Linked DNA regions of Mus musculus. The protein of the gene in region 1 purifies or fractionates together with the protein of each later gene. This does not show direct contact. Links are inferred from orthologs where the notes say so. Each region holds a gene or a part of one and is shown in the gene's direction. Other genes may lie near its edges.

Region 1 (3,649 bases):
TCCCTTCTCTGACTTCTCTGCTAGGAATGAACAGAGCTAGAAAAGTCTAGTGTCACCTTCTGACCTGACTAGACGCGTACACCATTAGCTGGTTTCCTCTTGACTTCCCTGCCAGAGACAGCCAGAGACTCTTCACAGAGATGGTCTTCATGACTGAAGACTCCCTGCCTAATGCTTTTCTTCTGGTCTCTTACCAGGATATCAATAGCCTCAACAAACAAATTGCTCAGCTTCAAGATTTTGTGAGGGCCAAGGGCAGCCAGAGTGGCCGGCATCTGCAGACCCATTCTAACACCATTGTGGTTTCGTTGCAGGTGGGACCTTGGGGATGGAGGAGGGAGGAGAGGAATAACAAAATACATTCTTTGACCCAATTGTCCTTGCCTTTTAGTCAAAGCTGGCTTCTATGTCCAATGACTTCAAGTCAGTTCTAGAAGTGAGGACTGAGGTAAGTGGGATCAGTAGGTGGGTAAGGACCTATTGTAGGGTCCACAGACCCACTTTCCAGGGACTCAGGAGCCGTGTATTCCTCCCCAACATCAGAATCTGAAACAGCAGAGGAACCGTCGGGAACAGTTCTCCAGGGCACCAGTGTCAGCCCTGCCTCTTGCCCCCAACAACCTTGGTAAGTCAGTAGTAGCACTATGGGAAGCCTAGGGGCTAAGTTCTTCTGGGTTTGGTGGCATCCTTTAGACTTCAGAGTGTAAACACAGTAGAGTAGGAGAACGGAGCTGCCAGAATGGTGCTGTGCATTATCTCAGAGGACAAACTTGGTTTTGAAACTTTATGATCTACACTTAACCCTTGTGCCTTCTCATGGGAAACATGAGACATATCATGTAGACATATCAGAAAAATGACAGTGTCTGACTTTTTGTACTTAGTTACATTCTCTCTAATTTTCACAACCAGCCTTTGGAAAAGCAACTATTGTTAGCTCCATTTTGCAGATGAGGAAACTGAGACTCAGATCAAATAATCTATTCAGAGCTGGATTTAAATCTAGTGGGTTTTGAATGTGTTTTTATTTTTAAAGCTAGGGTCTCATGTAGCTTGGGCTGGCCTCTAGCTTGTTAGCTGAGGACTAAACTATCTCCACCTCCCTATGACTAGTATAACAGGCAAGCACCACCATGCTTTGCTTGAACCATGCCTATACATTCTCATGTATGCACTGTGTGTGTGTGTGTGTTTTGAGAGACAGACAGACAGTGGCAGTCAGACAGTGACAGTCAGGGTTTCTCTATGTTGTCTTGGCTGGCAGATCAGATTGGCCTCAGACTCATAGAGACCCCCTTGCCTCAACCTCAAGAATTCTGGCATTAAAGGCATGTGCTACCAATGCCAAGCCCTGAACCTGCTTTTAACCATTAAAATGTGCCATGTCCTATTTTCCTCCCAGGAGGTGGTCCCATAATTTTGGGAGCAGAGTCCCGAGCTTCCAGGGACGTGGCTATTGACATGATGGACCCTAGAACAAGCCAGCAGCTTCAGCTCATTGATGAGCAGGTACCCAGGCTCTGAAATCTGGAGAATCAGTTTCTCTATTGTCTTCTTTGTTCCCCTGAGTGTTTGGAATGTGTCATGGTGAAAAAGTCTTAAAAACCTAGGCCCTAGTTCATGGTGTTTTCTTCTTCTGAAGGATTCCTACATCCAGAGTCGGGCAGACACCATGCAGAACATTGAGTCTACAATCGTTGAGCTGGGCTCCATTTTTCAGCAATTGGCACACATGGTTAAAGAACAGGAGGAAACGATTCAGAGGTGAGACACTCTCACCCCATACAGTGCAGCCTTCTCTTCTCCATGGATTGATATCCTGAAGTCCCTAGGGACAACTTGGTGTTCTTTGGAAGAGTGGAGTGAATCCTGCCTACCCACTAGTCCTGTTCCCCTGCTTCTACTCATTCCATAAGAATTTATTTAGGGGCTGGTGTGGTGGTGTATGCACGCCTTTGATCCCAGCACTCTGGAGACACAAACAGGCAGAGCTCTATAAGTTTGAGGCCATCCTGCTCTACATAGTGAGTTCAAGGACAGCCGCTGAGGCTACAGAGAAGTCCTTTAAAAAAAAGAAAAGTAAAAGAAAATGCCTACCATGCATAAAGGTTTAGGATCTGTCCTCAGAATCATAGAGAAAACAACTGGTAGGGACAGCCAACTGGCTCATCCGGCAAAGGCATTTCCTGCACACGCCTAGTAACACGAGAATGGTAACTGCTGCCAGATAAAGGTGAAAGATTTCAGCGCCACAGGGTTGTCTTGTGATCACCACATCCATGCCTCCTACCCCATAATAATAAATAAAAATGTAAAAAAAAAAAAAATCAAACAGCTGAGAAGGGAGCACAGTGTGCTGACCTTAAAGTACAGCTACTCTCGAGGATTGTTTGAACCAAGGAGTTCAAGACAATGACATCAGACCACCATGATCTGCTATGTGGATGCTGGGAATTGAACTCAGAACTTAAGTGAGTGCTCTTAACCACTGAGCCATCTCTCCAGGCCCACAACCATATTTAACCCTAGTTTTAGGAGATCCAACGCAGGCATCAGGCATTTAAAAGTTGATTTAAAATGTCAGCAGCAGAAAATGTCAGTGGTACTGTTGTAGCAGCCTGAGAAATCTGTAGAGCCCGCGGGATGTGGGTGCTCGCTCCACAAGGCAGGGTGAAACAAAGCTGACTTTAGAGAGCAGAAAGACGGTGAACCTGAGAAGGGCAAGGACAGTTCTTATGAAGCTTGTCTGCTCATTATGTTGAAAACTCCTGAGGTGCTGGCTCAGCTGTTAAGAGCACTGGCTGCTCTTCTGAAGGACCCGGGTTCAATTCCCAGCACCCACATGGCAGCTCACAACTGTCTATAACTTCAGTTACAGGGGACCCAACATTCTCACACAGATGATAGCCATGCAGAGAAAACACCAGTGTACATGAAATGAAAATAAGTAAATCACTTAAAAAGCAAAAAAGAAAAAGAAAATTCCTGAGGTGTAGGCAGCTAAATGTGTATCAGAACGGGGTGCAGGAGTTTCCTGATGGATGCCCTTTTAATTTCCTGACTGTCCTGCAGGCCTTGCAGTGTCCTATAGCTTCAAGTTGTTTGCTGGCCTTGTTACTGCTCTTTCAAAACAGAAAAGCTTGGTTCTCCAGTGTTATTTGGAAAAACCAAATATGGGCTTCAGTGGCACTGCTTATATTACTTTGTATGGAATAACTTGAAAGAAGATGCTGTGTAACTTGTATCTCATTAGGAAGCATTTAATGTCAGATTGCATTTATATCAGGGAGGACAGATATCAGAAACAGTCTTCCACCCCATGATCAACTCCAGGACCTTGTACATGCTGGACAGTATTCTGCCATTAAGTTACACACTCAGTCATTGTTTTTAGCTTTTTTCCTCTTGAGTGAGAAACTCAAGGCAAAGCTCAGCAGATAAGTTTGCTTGCTATAAAGCCTTGATGGCCTGCATTTGGTCCCTGGAACCCACATTGTAAAAGAGAACCAGTTCCCACATGTGTCCTTTGACCTCCACATGAGGGCCATGGCACATGCATACTCATACATACACACAGACATACAAAATAAATATAAAAGAAAAATTCTTTTTTTTTTTTTGTTTTTTTTTTGTTTTTTGTTTTGTTTTA
Region 2 (4,123 bases), on another chromosome or scaffold:
GTGCAAATGATATATTTGTAATAAGTGTTTTTATTGTTCTTCATTAATATGCTCTGGATTCTGATAGCCCTCTGACTCATCAAATTTTGCAAGATATTAAAAGCTACAAGGTGAAGATGGCATGTTTATGCTCGAGTATGAACACTTATAGTTCCCATAGTCACATGTTGTACTTGAATAAGAACTTGTGATAAAATCATCAAGGATCTTTGTTATATCCCCATACTCATCTCACATTCTGTATTAGTTGAATTGAAAATTATCACATAGCAATAGAAGCAAAGAAGGCGGAACTTAGACTCTTTCTTTCAGCCATCAAACCACAGTAAGCTGAGGGCAGAGTGTTAGTGCAATGTGTTTCTATTATGAAGTATAATGTGTGTAGTGAGGTGGTTCAGCAGCTAAGGGTACTTGCTGCATATGTAGCAGAGGATGGCTACATGCTCCATGGAAACAAGTATGAGGTATTTGTGTGTACGTTTTAAAAGCTCTAAGTAGGGTGGAGTGTTTAAAAGCTAAATATCACAGTTCTTTCCAGACTTAGATCAAATGCGTTAGGAAGCTGAGACTCCCCACTTCCCTACCCGGAAGTTCTACTGCAAGGATACATACATACATACATACATACACACACACACACACACACACACACACACACACACACACACATATATATATATATATATATATGTGTATATATATATATATTTTTTTTTAACTATTCCACTGGGCAGGATCAGGAAGGAAGAGGATTGATTTTCCTTTCCTGCTAAGAGGCTCAGACAGTAAGATGAGACTCTGTTTGAACAAAGTTTGCACTGACTTTCTCACCTCTGACTTTGGGTGAGCGGGAGTGCAAGGGAAAATCATGAAAGAGTCAACCATCATCCCGGCTAGGGAGGGGTAACTCTCCCAGGTTAAAGTTGGCACTAACATCAAAAAGTGCCATACTAAAAGTTCTGGATTAAGTAATGACCCAGAATAACAGGACTAGAGCCCCAGCAGCTGTCGCTGCCCTTCCGGAAGCCCCGCCCATTCCAGGCATTGTTCCTACCACGCCCCTCTTACCCAGTGCCCCAGAAGACGGAAAACTACATTTCCCAGAATGCAACTAGTAATCGCATTTCAGGACGCCTATATGTGTCCGAGTGACGACATAAACCGGCGCGGTGTTTAGACTTTACTGATGTCGTGGCGCTCTGAGGCAAAAAGTTGTTGCTCTTAGGAGCCCTGGGACTGAAGCCGAGGTCGGGTGACCCTGGCCCTTTCCTACTCACTCCTCCTTGCCCGCCTTTCCCTCTCCTGGCAGGATGAGGCGTGCAGGCCTGGGTAAGAACAGTGCTGAGGTTCGAAGTTTGGGGACCCTAGGACCTGCTGAGTCGGGAGCAGGGTTGTGGGAGGAGACTACCGGCCCTCTGTCAATGACTTTGGTGTTCAAAAGCGAGTTATTTGGGTTCTTTGGAGAAGGTTCTCTTCCTGTGTCCTAGTTCCGAACGGTTTCCTGAAGTTGTATTTAGACAAAAGTTTAAACCTATATGCTAGGTTGCACAGAGCGGTGAATTGGTTAGCATAAGTTTTTCTTTTTCTATGTGCTAGTTTGGGGAGTAACCCAATTTCCCAAGCCTTGCTGTTTCCTTTGCTTTACTCATTCTGGATCTTAACTTTTTTTTTTTTTTTTTAAGAAATGACATTTGGGGAGTAGTAAGCTTTAAGCCCACTAATAATGATGCGTTAGTTTGATAACCGTGAGTTACAAAGGTGAATTTACGTGTCCTTATTGTTAAAGTGCCTGTTATGAAAGGTCTGGGTCAAAGGCGAGTTACTTGGAACACTTCTGACCTAGACCTTGTCCCACTGCTAAGGCAGTAGATGTTGGTTTTGATGACTTAAATGGGTCAGGGGAAGGAATAGCTTAGTAATAACTGAAGTTCTTTCTCTATTAGCCATGTCTTAAAGAAGGAAGGGCAGAATGCTTGAAAAAAATGTGTGAAATATTAAAAAGGATGTTGCTGTTCTGGCAGACATTGGAATAGTAAAAAAAAAAATAGTTTTTAAAAATTTGAGGTGTTAAAGCCAGTGAATGGACAAACACTTAAAGTTAGGTATGAAAACTAAAGCCTCTTTTGCAACTCATAATTCACGGCTTGTTATGGGTTTTGATTATGTAAGAAGGAACACAATATTCATGACAGTGCAGAGACATGGTAGTAGTTTCAATAAGGTTGGTTATAGGAATAGAATGTGTGGACTTTAAAACCACTGAAAAATAAGGGCCTTGAATGGTGTCAGTAATATAGATTGACAGGGTTGTCAATAAGTAGTTGCATGTGAAGAAGTTGTAAATTTAGTTTTATGAATCCTTTCAGTCATTGAAAGAAATTAGTTCATCTCAAATAACCTAAAGAACTATTTTCAAACATGATTAGTCATATATGCCTACATTTTTCCAACACTAATAACAGCAGACATTTATTGTGACGCACCATGTGCTTCCCAAAGCTTTCAGGGTTACTGTGGAGCAGAAGATAAATTGCTGCGGAAGCAGATGACAAAGTACGATCCAAGGTGGTAACTTCATCCCAGTACAGGTTAAGTTCATCGGATAGTAAATGCAGTGGGGGCTTAATAATCCATGGCTCACGGTGGGCTTCCTGGAGCCGGAGAACCTGAAGGATGCTGGTGACTGTGAGGGTTGGGAGAAGTAAGTCCCAGATGAGAAGATGGCCAAACAAGATTCAGGGTAGTTATGAATGATGTATACAAGAGGTTGTGGTGATGAAGTCACTCTGAGTGAAGCTAGGACCCTGAGGCACCCGAACGATCTGACTATTCAAGGACTTTACATTCATCAGTAGGCCACTGGCCTATTGGAATTTTGTTTGTGCTGTACTGTTTTTAATACGTGCAGGTCAGGGATTTGACAGTAGGTTTCTATCTCTGACTTGTATTGTATGTTACAATTACTCAGAAAGATGTTAAATTAGATTTTCAATTAAATTAGAATCAGCAGGCAAGAGTCCCCTCCTAAGTCTTTTTGAAGTGCAGTGAAGAAGAGGGGTAATTATTTGTTTAAGTATGCTTATCACTTAAATTGGTGTTGAATTATGAAGACCTAAAAGTATCATTGTGTGCTGACCTGAATTTGAAATTTGAAATAATAGTGAGTCTGATAAGCATTTGTATGTAAAACCTGCCACCTTACACAGGAGCTGTTAAATGAATTGGCCTGCTTCAAGGAAGTAGCACTTTTCAGATGGCATCAGCTGGAAATGACCTTCAAGACTCGCCTTTCTACAGTTCATCATAGTAGTAATTAATTCTCACTGAAAAATTGGATCTCAGTTGGAATAGCAATTGTAGTATTTTATTTTACCTTAGTTGGTTTTGTTTTGTTTTTCTGTTTGGGGGTGGAAGATGATGTGAAGAAAGATCAAATTTGCAACTGCATTAAAATTTCTGGATCAAAAAAAGGAACATTTTGCTTTAAAAGAACAAAGTAGAAGAACTCTGAAATTAAGTATAAGATAGGCTAGAGAGTCAAAACAAAAGAAATAAATCAAAATAGCCATTAATTTTGGACAAATTAGTTAATGAAGTTGTCCAGTGATTAACTATCCAATCCAGAATTACTTAGTCACATTAAACAAGTTGAAGATCTTAAATCTTGTTAAGAGTTTGCAGAGATTATTTTAAGTGTTGATTTTAGTTGGTGAGCTGCGAAAAACAACTATGCCCTGTCCTCCAGCTTTTAATCTGTTTGAAAATATGTGTGGAGAAAGAGAGAGACCATGCCAGCCAGCAAGTGTGCAACTGTCCCCTCTCTTTGAAATATTTAACATTTTGTTATGGCTTTTGTGGTAAACGGAGAAATATAGGCGTCTGGTACATAGAAAGTGCTCATTAGGTGCAAGAGGCCAGAGAAGCAAAAGACATTCTGCTGTTGACAAAATTGGTTTACAGTAAAGGAAAAATGTCCTTTTTAGTTCATTTATAAGTATTTACTTAAGTATTGTTGTAGGGTGTGTGTGTACCTGTATGTTTATGGAGATCTAGGATGATAAATGAACACATTTAGTTTTTGCTTTTATACTTCAGTGTAGAGGTCAGTTTTGATGTTATATAG

The links.
Region 2: the proteins of Stx5a (region 1) and Bet1 purify together in Homo sapiens (affinity purification with mass spectrometry; 3 studies listed by BioGRID and IntAct, with this or other methods). This does not show direct contact. The link is inferred for Mus musculus from reciprocal best matches to the Homo sapiens genes STX5 and BET1.

Annotation. Positions count from the first base shown.
Region 1 is NC_000085.6:8,748,264-8,751,912, forward strand, and holds part of Stx5a (syntaxin-5), read left to right. Parts: intron 1-197; coding exon 198-314; intron 315-391; coding exon 392-448; intron 449-543; coding exon 544-625; intron 626-1,402; coding exon 1,403-1,509; intron 1,510-1,642; coding exon 1,643-1,764; intron 1,765-3,649. UniProt on the Homo sapiens protein: Mediates endoplasmic reticulum to Golgi transport.
Region 2 is NC_000072.6:4,083,983-4,088,105, reverse strand, and holds the start of Bet1 (BET1 homolog), read left to right. Parts: upstream 1-1,175; 5' UTR 1,176-1,310; coding exon 1,311-1,329; intron 1,330-4,123. UniProt on the Homo sapiens protein: Required for vesicular transport from the ER to the Golgi complex. Functions as a SNARE involved in the docking process of ER-derived vesicles with the cis-Golgi membrane.